Linked DNA regions of Danio rerio. Each later gene encodes a partner of the first gene's protein in a complex. Links are inferred from orthologs where the notes say so. Each region holds a gene or a part of one and is shown on either strand. Other genes may lie near its edges. The genes, in order: nup153, nup205 and nup107.

The links.
Region 2: nup153 (region 1) and nup205 share a complex: the UniProt entries of both Homo sapiens proteins name them as parts of the nuclear pore complex. The link is inferred for Danio rerio from reciprocal best matches to the Homo sapiens genes NUP153 and NUP205.
Region 3: nup153 (region 1) and nup107 share a complex: the UniProt entries of both Homo sapiens proteins name them as parts of the nuclear pore complex. The link is inferred for Danio rerio from reciprocal best matches to the Homo sapiens genes NUP153 and NUP107.

The regions. Positions count from the first base shown.
Region 1 is NC_133194.1:48,945,520-48,949,889, reverse strand, and holds the start of nup153 (nuclear pore complex protein Nup153), read left to right. Parts: upstream 1-1,539; 5' UTR 1,540-1,616; coding exon 1,617-1,694; intron 1,695-4,370. UniProt on the Homo sapiens protein: Component of the nuclear pore complex (NPC), a complex required for the trafficking across the nuclear envelope. Functions as a scaffolding element in the nuclear phase of the NPC essential for normal nucleocytoplasmic transport of proteins and mRNAs.
Region 2 is NC_133193.1:13,606,416-13,610,072, reverse strand, and holds part of nup205 (nuclear pore complex protein Nup205), read left to right. Parts: intron 1-1,035; coding exon 1,036-1,185; intron 1,186-1,269; coding exon 1,270-1,344; intron 1,345-2,167; coding exon 2,168-2,325; intron 2,326-3,377; coding exon 3,378-3,458; intron 3,459-3,548; coding exon 3,549-3,657. UniProt on the Homo sapiens protein: Plays a role in the nuclear pore complex (NPC) assembly and/or maintenance. May anchor NUP62 and other nucleoporins, but not NUP153 and TPR, to the NPC.
Region 3 is NC_133179.1:23,343,331-23,346,987, reverse strand, and holds part of nup107 (nuclear pore complex protein Nup107), read left to right. Parts: intron 1-47; coding exon 48-177; intron 178-258; coding exon 259-362; intron 363-1,465; coding exon 1,466-1,593; intron 1,594-2,169; coding exon 2,170-2,218; intron 2,219-2,615; coding exon 2,616-2,687; intron 2,688-2,772; coding exon 2,773-2,861; intron 2,862-2,950; coding exon 2,951-3,143; intron 3,144-3,657. UniProt on the Homo sapiens protein: Plays a role in the nuclear pore complex (NPC) assembly and/or maintenance. Required for the assembly of peripheral proteins into the NPC. May anchor NUP62 to the NPC. Involved in nephrogenesis.

The DNA.
Region 1 (4,370 bases):
AACAAAAAAAATTCATTAATTTTCTTTTTCGGCTTAGTTCCTTTATTAATCAGGGGTCGCCACAGTGGAATAAAATCGCCAACTCATCCAGCATATGTTTTATGCAGCGGATGCCCCTCCAGCTGCAACCCATCACCGGGAAACATCCATACACTCTCATTCACTCACACACTACAGCCAATTTAGCTAACTCAATTCACCTAGTGCATGTGTTTGGACGGTACGGGAAACCGGAGCACCCGGAGGAAACCCACGCGAACACAGGGAGAACATCAAACTCCACACAGAAATGCCAACTGACCCAGGCTCGAACCAGCGACCTTCTTGCTGTGAGGCAAGAGCGCTACCCACTGCGCCACCGCGTCACCCCAAGAAAATTCTGAATAAATAAAAAATTATTTATTTATTAAAATGATACAAAATGAAACCATTTATTAACAAACAAATTTGTATGTAATTAAATGAAGATTATATTTAAATAATCTAATAATAATAAATTATAATTAGAAAAAAAAAATCCTAAATCAAAATCAAATAAATTACACGTTAAATTGTTAATATGAAATTTATTTAAACAAACAATAAATACATGAATTACATTAAAATGATGAAAAAAATGTCAGAAGCAATTAAAAATTAATAATAAATGCATCACAAAAAAGCAGAATTAAATAAATAAAATTAGTATAATTACAAATGAGTATAAAAATCAATTAGAAATATAATTAATAAATCAATACAATGATTGCATAAAGTAAATTAAAATAATATTTGGTACATTATTTAAAACAATTAAAAAAAAAAAAAAAATATATATATATATATATATATATATATATATATATATATATATATATATATATATATATATATATATATATATTGTTTCAACTGCAAAGCGATGGGTAGTATAATCGCCTCACAACAAGAAGGTCGCTGGTTCGAGCCTTGACTGGGTCTGTAGGTGTTTCTGTGTGGGGTTGCATGTGTTGGCGTGGGTTTCCTCCGGGTGCTCCGGTTTCCCCCACAGTCCAAACACATGCGGTACAGGTGGATTGGGTAGGCTAAATTGTATGTTGGTGAATAAGTGTGTATGGGTGTTTCCCAGTGATGGGTTGCGGCTGGAAGGGCATCTGCTGCGTAATACATATGCTGCATGAGTTTGCAGTTCATTCCGCTGTGGCGACCCCTGATTAATAAAGGGAATAAGCCGAAAAGAAAATGAATGAATGATATCTAATATCTAATATTTATGTTTACACTACATAAGCTATGGGTGGTTATACAAGAACCATTCATGACTGCTAGATGTTTATTTCTGGCATGAAGATGAACATATTTGGAGAAACCACTGTTTTAAAAATGAAACAGAAAGTATCTTGACCTAATTTACTAAATACCTCAGTTTACTCACATCTACAAAAGCAAAATCCCCTACCACCCGAACGAAGTTCCTACAAACTGACGTCAATAGTGAACGCGCATGAAGTGTCCTCCTGAACTACATATCCCATGAAACCCAGCGCCGCGGTGGCTGACGGTATATTGGAGGGCCGCGCTGTGACAGCGGAGCTCTATCCGGCGAGCGCTACTGAGCAGACTCAATCTAGTTAACCATGGCGGCGACAGGAGGAGGGAAAATCAGATCCAGAAGACACCACATTGCGTCAAAACCCTACGCCAAAGGCAAACAGGTAAACAAAACCAACATGAAGCGCCAACAGCGGGGAATGTAACGGTTATTAACGGAACCCTAACCAGCGGTTTGGCGGCGGGTTTTGTTTTTGTGAAGCAGGAGACATTTTGAGGCCTGTTTTAGGCCTGTTCACGTTCTTCCAGCACACGCTTTCCACACCGCCAACTCATTTGACTGATAAAACAAAGCCACTCGGTGAGGAAAATACTCGAAAATATGGCGACTGAGAAGTGAAATTTGAATGTGTTTTCACTGAGGTGAAGACAACCGCGTGAACGCGTTTCATACCCAAACCGTTAGCCGTTAGCTGCGGCTAGCACCGGCGTCAGATATAATCACTTCAGTCCAAACAAACCATTAAAACTTGGTTTTCGTAGCGAACGATTTCCTATTTAAGTTCTTTATACTCTTACTTTGACTACATAACTCGCGTGTGTCGCTCAGAGTGACTCCACATGAGAGTAATGAGCTTCAGAGCACTTTTTGTGTGCGTGTTGTTATATTTGTAAGTTTTAAGCTTGGTTGATGATCGTTTTGGATGTGATTAGAGATTAATATAACGGTATGTTTTGGCGTACATTATGCTGCTTAACGCAGTGGGGTTTGACATCATGAAGAAAGGCGGGATGAGCGAGTGTGTGCGTGTCGTGGCGTGTTTTCATCTGCACATCACACACACACTGGAAATCCTGCACTCATGTTATTTCATAAAGAACGTAAAGGTGTTGTGATTAACACAGGTTCGTGTGTGTTTTCATTAACAACAATTTTAATTAGCCTTATAGTGATCCTGAATTCATCATAAACAGTTATTCTGATAATTCATAACCTAAACACTATGAATCATAGTTGAAAATCACTTTGCATTTTTCGTGATATTACTAGATTATCTGTTTTAGGCAAATTAAGTGGGTTAGAGAGGCACATAAGCTATTTGGCAGTCAAAAACGCATTTTCTTTTGTGTGAGGTTTAATTAGAAGTTAGAAATAGTCGATGCATAGTGTTATGTGTAGGATACTGTAAAAATGAGACTGTTGATGTATTGAAAAATCATGAAATAAACTGGTTCGTGTTCAGCATGGTCAAAGTGTGTATTCTGGTATATTTAGTAATTAACCCCACGTAGAAATGCAAGATGTGAAGGCAGTTTAAAAGTCAGGGCGGTACATACTCGTATTTTTGTTGACATTTGTGCATCATTGCGCCTTGTTTTTATTTTCTACTGTCAATAGATTAATTGCACAGTATATTCTTTTTTTTCCCAATGAATTTAAGCCCCTCATTAATAAGGTTTTAAAACTGCATGTTCCAAGCTTAATAAAAAAGCAAGCACTTTATTGAATCTAGCTTAGGGTACATTAATTATGTTTATGCTGATCTATTAAAACCACAAGAAATTTTGTATTCGCCATGATCGGCCTGTAGCTCTCTGTGACTTACTGAAGAAATGCTGTGTGCTCTAGTTAAGTATGCTCATGTTTATTAGTGTTGTTTTGACTGTTAAATACTTGCTCATGCGTAAATATGTTATACACATACGAATAACCTCTCTGCTTTCCCCAAATCACTTTTTATTCTTTACCTGGTTACCTGAAAACAAAGTTTTTTTCGTTTTTGTTTTCTCCCAAAAAAGCCACATTTTACTGGACTGTCCTGCTTTTAATGATTCCAGAAGACTTTTTTTATGAAATTAACTCTTTTAAGGACATTTTTAACAAGGTGAAACTAGAAAAGATTTTAGAATTTCTATCATGCATCAACACTAAAAATCCTATTTAATTTATGTATTCTTTTGTTTGTTGACTTTTAATTGTGTATATATATTGTTGAAAGGTTCCTGCTATGAAAATAGCCTTAGTTGCTGAAATGGCATTAGATAAATACATTACATTACATTCCCAAAAAAGCCATAGTTGTAACCTCTTTATAAAAAGTATGCTTTGTCAGGCTTATAAATGCTGGGGCACACCAGGTTTACGCCTTACAACTAGCGCCAATGAAAACCGTTTGTAAGATGATTTGTTTTATTACTTTGCTTCGCAATAATCTGTTTTGTTGTTCAATACATGAAAACCGAACTTCCGACATGCACATGCAAAGTAGAGGTGTAAACCTACACTGGCCTCACGGTTCGGTTACGATTATCATGCCATCGATTCTATTCATTTCGATATCTCGGTGCATCACTGTGCATTGTCTGCTTTTTATACTTTATATGTGGATGTTTTGCATTTTCTGATTTGTTACCCTAATGTACAAGTCGCTCAAACTTACTCATTAAGATGCGGGAACCGGCAGACGTGCAACAGCATTAATCATAAACACAAAACTACAGTTTCCATCCGGAGCGACTTCACAGACTCTCGACACTTGTAAACACTCACTCAAACAGGTTGGCGCGGATCTCTGTCTCACCCACACTGGTCACAGCTAACAAGCTGACCTATTACAAAGCTTGTACTATGCGTCGTTGTGAAAGTATAGTTATATTTCTTGAGAAGTGTGCGGCAGCCACTGCGAGTGCTATGCAACTGCAAAGGCTGCACTGGAGCATACAAGTGCGCTTGATGAAGAAATGTAAATCAGCCTTAATTGTCTGCTTGCTACATTACTTCAGTTTTTATTTTTGCACTCTGATTGGTTGCTGAATAACCAATCAGATGCTGACCTTGC
Region 2 (3,657 bases), on another chromosome or scaffold:
TGTTTTTTGAATACTATGAATTCATACATACTACTTGACTCGCATACTGGTTTTAACGTACTATATAGTATGGAAGTATGCCATTTCGAATGCAGCTTTTTTTTGTCCCTCTATTCACCTTATTCTCCGCTGACGAGTGGGCGCTGCCATTTGAATCTTTTTGGCTTAAGACTTCCGGTCTCATTCACTTCCATTAATATTTTGACGTTAAAAACTGCTCATTACGCTGCTTTATGATGCAATTTGATATTTTGTTATTATATTATTCTACTTGGTCTGTATAGTCATGCAAACATTTGTTTGTAAAGCAAGTAGTTTGACCGTTTTCTGCCGTTTATTATTCCTAGTCATTTCTCCCATAGGCGACTGAATCGGAAGTTCTAAGACAATCGCAAAAACAGGCGCACTTCCGCATTTTAGAATAAGGTCAATATGACAATTCAATAATTCTAATCTTTGTTTTGGTACAATACAGTGCAGCATGAATACCTTGTTATGAGTACCTTGTTTTGGTGTGCTTTATTACAACACATTGTAATGACGGTTCAAATGATGGGTGTTTACAAAAGTTTATACAAATTAACAGTGGAAGCGATCAAAGTAGCTAAGCATTTTAAACCTCATTACCCCTACTTTGTGTCATCTACTTATAACCAGATTGACAAAACGGCATCTTATTATCAGGTTTAATCAAGGCATTACAAAAAAAATATTCAGTTCAATTTAATTGTTTTTTCATTGTATATTATATGCTGGTTGATGGCACCCATTTACTTCCATAATATTTTATTTTCCTTCTGTAGAAGTCAGTGAGTGCCATCAACCAGCATTCTTCAAAATATCTTCTTTTGGGTTCAGCAGAAGAAAGAAACCTTTAAATGTTTAAAACCAATTAAGGGAGAGTAAATGCTAAACACATTTTTTTTATTTTTTGGGTCAACTATCCTTTAAAGTATGCCGTTCAGAGATTTTGTATAATATTTCCAGTCTTATTTTGACTTGTCAACTGATTGAGTCCATCTTTATTTCCTATAGAAAATGAGATCGCGGCTCTGTCTCAGATGTCCTGGCTAATGAAAACCACAGCAATCGAGCTCCGAGTGACCTCACTGAACCGCCAGCGCTCACACACACAGAGACTCCTGAACCTCCTCCTCGATGACCAGCCACACACATTACACACAGGTAATACACACAGTTCCACAGAGTTCCTCACAGTGTCCAAGCAGCAGCATTGAAGTCAACACATTCTTTGTATTTGTCTTGCAGCAGATGGAGAGACCGGCATGGAGGAGGAGAACAGATCAGTCAGTGGTTTCCTGCAGTTTGGCACCGTCTCCAAGGGTAAGGGAAAGTATTGATACAGTAGCTACAAAAAGTGGTTTCATGGAATCAAAGGAAATTACAACTTGCATTTTACAACCTCCCTAGAGTTAAACAGTTGAGTTGAACCTTTTTTTAATCTATTAAGCCAATATCCAGGTCTGGTGGGAACACTTTTAGTTTAGCTTAGCATAAAGCATTTAATCAGATTTGACCATTAGCATCTTGCTCAAAATAGTTTGATAATTTTCGTATTAAAAGAGTTCTGCTCTTCTGTAGTTACATCATGTAATAAGACCGACTGAAAATAAAAGTTCCCATTTTCTAGGCCGATTCGGCTAGGAACTACTGTCTGGTGTAATAATCAGGAGTTTGCTTCTGTACCATGGCTGAGCAGACACAGTTACATTAAGCAGCAATGATTCTATTTTCAGGGCTGCATAATACCATTGATCCTGGTGGAGCCATAGTTCAGCAGCAAATTCACTTAATCATTACTTCAGAATGAGAATACAGCCATATCAACTTAGAAAATAGCAACTTTTCAGTTTTCCTTGGTCTTAGTACATGATGTAACTACAGAAGAGTCAAACTTTAAATAGGAAAATTATCAAACCTCTTTTTAGACATCTTTGAGTGAGATGCTAATGGTCTAATTCAATTCAATGATTTATGCTAAGGTAAGCTAAGCTTAGGGTAAAGTGTTGCCCCAAACCAAAATGCTATCTTAAAGGTTAAACTGAACCCTTTAACTCTTGGTGACATGAAAATCAGCCTATTTCCAAATAATAAAAGTGTGAAATAATGGTGTTCCTTTAATCATGGTGATCTCTGGTGGTTTTAGTGCGCAGGAGGCTGCTCAGTGTTTTGGATGCCATAGATTTCAGTCAGGAGGCACCAGAGCTTTTGCAGCTGGACTTCTTTGAGCGCACTCAGATCGAGCAGGTCATCACTAACTGTGAACATGTCAACGAGCAGGGACACACCGTCTGCAATGTCAAGGTACATGGATGAAAAACTGAAAAATATTATGTTATTAAAAAAATAATACAAAAAGTATTAAGCTTAAAACTTTTAAATGAAATAGTCTATTCCAATGAAACGCCACAATAATATATATATATATATATATATATATATATATATAAATATATATATATATATATATATATATATATATATATATATATATATATATATATATATATATATTATAAATGTTTTAAATTCAGTTAGGAGGTCATGGCCTGATGTGTCAATCTACTATTGGTGCACAACAAAATAGCCAAATGAACTGAAATACATTAAACAAAGCTAAAGAACTGAAAGGACGTAATTTCTATCAAAATTAAACAAAATTTGCCAATTTGTAACAGCTCATAAACACAAACTTTTAGGGGAGTTTGGCTCCTAAACACTTTTGAAGCACTATTGGTCTATATTTACATTTTTTATTAAAATAATAAAGTGGCTATAAAAACTATCCTTTTAATAAAAGCTTCATCAGTATCTAAGCAAAACTGAAATAACACTTGTATAAATCAAACAGAAATGATGGCGGCATTCACTATAATCAATGTTTATTATAAATCCCAAGTCTAAAATTAATTTCAGGTGAATCTAGTACTCTAATATCTCATTCATTACACAAATGAGAATGTGCTTTCTGTCTGCTTAGTTTTTCTTGGTATTTCATTATATGTCACTTTGGATGATCTGCCTTATTTTTCAGTGCTCCAGTTTTCTGTCAGTGGGCCAGATATCAGAATTATTAGCCACTATAGGGGAATTATAAGCAGAATAACAGTGAAGTGCAGCAGACAGTAATGCTGTGCCACATAATTAGGAAAATATTATAATAAAAATATTGGTTTGTTTATTAAGCAGCAATATTAAATGTGCTGTTTGTACATCTAAAGATAGATGGAAGCCAGACACATTACATATATCAGTGTATTCAATAAGTTACTGCCCATTTCAGTAAAAAGACATTGCTCAAGACCAAAATAAAACATTACTATAAGAATTTTTTTTTTCGGATTACTGTTTTGCAGTTGCTGCATCGAGTTTTAGTTGCAGAGATCAATGCACTACAGGGCATGGCAGCCATCGGGCAAAGACCACTGCTAATGGAGGTGGGTTTATCTATGATATTTTTTCAAGGCTAGGCATTAAAAAAAAAAATCTTGCCTCTGACTGTCTTGTTTTTGTCTCCATCCCATCAGGAGGTGAATTCAGTCCTGCAGCAGGTGGTGGAAAGGAATCGCGTGCGGCGCAGTCTCAGTGCCAAGCGCCATGCTCTGCAGAGCTGGAGGAGTCTGGTGGAGACCATCC
Region 3 (3,657 bases), on another chromosome or scaffold:
GTGTTAGTAACATTTTTGTGTGCTGCTGTTGTTTGTTTGCTCTCCAGAACTTGGATGACAGTGACTGGACGAACAGTCTTTACCCATCTCCTCTATCAGGAATAGTGGACACAAGCTTTACTGACGACGTTAGCATGAGTGCTCTGATGCTGAAGGAAGATGATCCTGGAGAGGCTGGTGAATACTCTTAGTAATTCATAATCACAAATGAAGCGGTCAATTGACATGATTTTCAGCTCTTCTGTTTTCTTCTCTTAGCTTCTCTTGGTTTGTTTCCTGAATTCCTGGAGTCTTATTTGCGTCATGCGTCCACAGCCGTGTTTGACCTGTTGGAGGAATATGAAGCTCTCTGTCAAGATAAGGTACACTAGCAGTACATAATTTAAATTTAAATATATATATATATATTTTTTTTTTTTTTGATCGTTTAGGCTGTATTAAACACAAACAGCATATATTTAATATTTTTATAAAAAAAAATTATTATTATTAACGTTGAATTTGTATAATTCAGTTTTTCTGTAGATAAACAATTATAATACATTCAGGACCTTTAGGACAAAATTTTCATTTTTGCTATTCCATTTTTTTTCTGTTTAAGCAAATACTCATACATACTTTGCTCAAATGCATCAATTGTGTTTACAAGACATGCATATTGTAATGTTGGTTTAGAAAATGTTAAATATTTTGACACATTTTTTTCAGTTTTGGACCATCGAGCAAATAATCTTTTTTTTATTCAGCTTTTTAGCACTGCTGGAAAAATGTATTTAAATGATGTAATTATAATTCTGGTTTTTGTGTTGTATGGATGGATAGCAGAGTTTGTTTTGTATGTAGTACATACTGAGAGATTTTGTTTTTTATTTTATTTTAGATTATTTTTTGTGCAGCATAACTTAAAAAGTGCATTAAAATAAATGTTATTTCAGATCCTTGACTTATCCAAGACTAATAATCCTACGTATTAATCCTGTAATACATCTTCTTACCTTTAGTATATGTGTGTATTGAGAGGAGATTGTTTGTTTTTGTGTGTTTTCCAATAAAACAGTAACATGTAAACTAATTGTAATTTTAAGGATTAAAATCATTTTATTTTTCCAAGTAATCATCAGCACTGATTTGAGTTGTTTAAGAAACTAATACTTTTATTATGTTTTTTTACTCTCGGTTGACCTATGTGTAACTGTTTTAAAATTCACACACAATGCTTGAACAAAAATATGAACTTGTTTGACAAAGGAATTTTGATAAGTAGCTGTATGTAATGCATAAAATATTTTCATATTCTATGTACTGGTAAGTGATTTTATGCTAAATCTGTGTACTGGTAAGTGATTTTATAAAAAAAAAAAAAAAAAAGACTATAGTCTTTAAAAATGACTTTAGTTTTTAGTGTTATAGCAAGTAAAAATATTGGCACAACAAGTCATTACTAATGCACTGTCCTGACTTGTAGGTCAGTGTGTTGCAGAAACTGGTTCTCCGTTCAGCCCCTGGCCAGCAGAAATCCTCCAAGACTGTCAGCATCACCTGGTTATTGCAGCAAGAGATGGTGACCTGGAGACTTATCACCTCTCTGTACAGGTACAACACACTCATACATTAGACCACACACACTACTGTTTTGATGAATGCATAAGAAATAAGTTGTTATTGAAGTTTTTTGTATTTAATCTATATTAAGCTTGCCATAAAATACCCATGAGTTGCTGATGTGGCAAATTTATCAAAATTGACAGCATTTCAAATCTATTTCCATTTCAAATGAATATTTTTGATGTTTTTTTGCTTAGTTTATCTAAAAATGCAAAAATGTTTCAGTTTCCACACAAATATAAAGCAGCACAACTTTTTTCAACATTGAGTTTAATGAGAATTGATTATTTACTGCTAAATCAGCAAAGTCGAGGGATTTTTCAAAGATTATGTCTCAATAAAGACTGAAGTAATGGCTGCTGTAGTAAATTAAGCTTATCTATTACTATTCACTGCTGTTTTTTGATCAAATAAATGCTATGTAAATACAATATTATGAGTTTAAATAAACAATAATAATAATAATAATCTTATTAATACCAGACTTTAAAACAGTAGGATTTTTAAATATCTGAATACTATTACTTTTTTGCTTATGTATTGTTAAAACTCTCTCAAACACAGAGACAGAGTTCAGACTGTTTTAGAAGAAGACATCATGATGGATATTACTGTAAGTGCATGTGTGTTTCTTTCTACTCTTCTGCTTGGGATAGAGCTGCGTAATTCTATAAAACCAGAGAATCACAATTTTATTTGTATTTTTTTGCTTGTTTGTTTAAATAGAGATGCAGTTTTATTCTGATTAGACAAATTGACACAATGTCAATTAATTTACTGGAGCTTTTATATAATTTTATTTGCTGCAATCAAAATGCAAAATATGTAATTTTTTTTTATTTAAGATTCTTTTTTATTTGGTTTAAATTAATGTTTTAAAAACTCCTAGTCAATATAATACAGTGTCCGTATCAGTTTCATTTAGACTGTTCGCCCTGGTGTGTGCCATGTTTTTACTCATGGACATCTCACTTTGATATGAACTGTTTCGTGTTGTGTTTTCTCTGGAGATGCCCAGTGAGAGTGAGAAAGCAGTAATGGAGCAGTTCTTCCAAAAGGACAGTATGGTGCGACAGAGCCAGGTAAACATACATCCATTTTACACCAATATATTTTTACATTGAAAAAAAAAAAAAAGCTCAATATCTGATGTGTGTTTTTATTTAGCTGGTGGTGGATTGGTTGGAGAGTATAGCAAAAGACGATATAGGAGACTTCTCGGATAACATTGAATACTATGCTAAATCTGTGTACTGGTAAGTGATTTTACCACTCATTTATGTCTTTGAGAATGTCTCAGTATGTCTAAATAAAATTTTTTATTAATCTGTTTGTTGGTGTGCAGGGAGAACACACTCCACACGCTGAAGCTGAGGAGGAATCAGTCCAGTGGTGGTTTAAGCAGGCCACTGGTCACTGAACTGGATCCCGATGCTCCCATCAGACAGAAAAGACCCCTGGCAGACCTGGACAGAGAGGACGACTCTCGCCTCCTCAAAAACCTCTTCAATCTCATACGAGCTGGCATGACTGATGAGGTATGTGTGTATGTTAGTTGAGATGCTTTATTAATTCCCTTAAACGTATAGGTCACCCTACATTTTTTATTTCCTTACTCAAATGGTTGTACATATTATGAATTTCCTTCTTCTGTTAAACACAAAACAAAATATTTTGAAGCAAGCTTGTTAAAAGCCGCTTTTGCACTTAATCTGGGAACAAAAATGCTGTGGAAGTCAATGGCTGCTTTTTTTCTCCAATATTCTTCAGTATATATTACTTTGTTTTGAACAGAAGAAAAAAACTCAAACAGATTTGGAGCAAATCAGTAAACAGAATTTAGATTTTTCAGTGAACTGTATCTTCATGGGAAAACTTGTTTGCCACTGTTATACATGATTAATGAAACGGTAAACACAACACCACAGGCAGTCTATGCAGAAATGACACACCTTGTTTTTAAAACTAGCTGCAGGAATGTTGAGAGATCTTGTGCATGAATCTGTAAAACATAACCTCCTACTAAAAATACTATTTACAGGATAAGCTTTA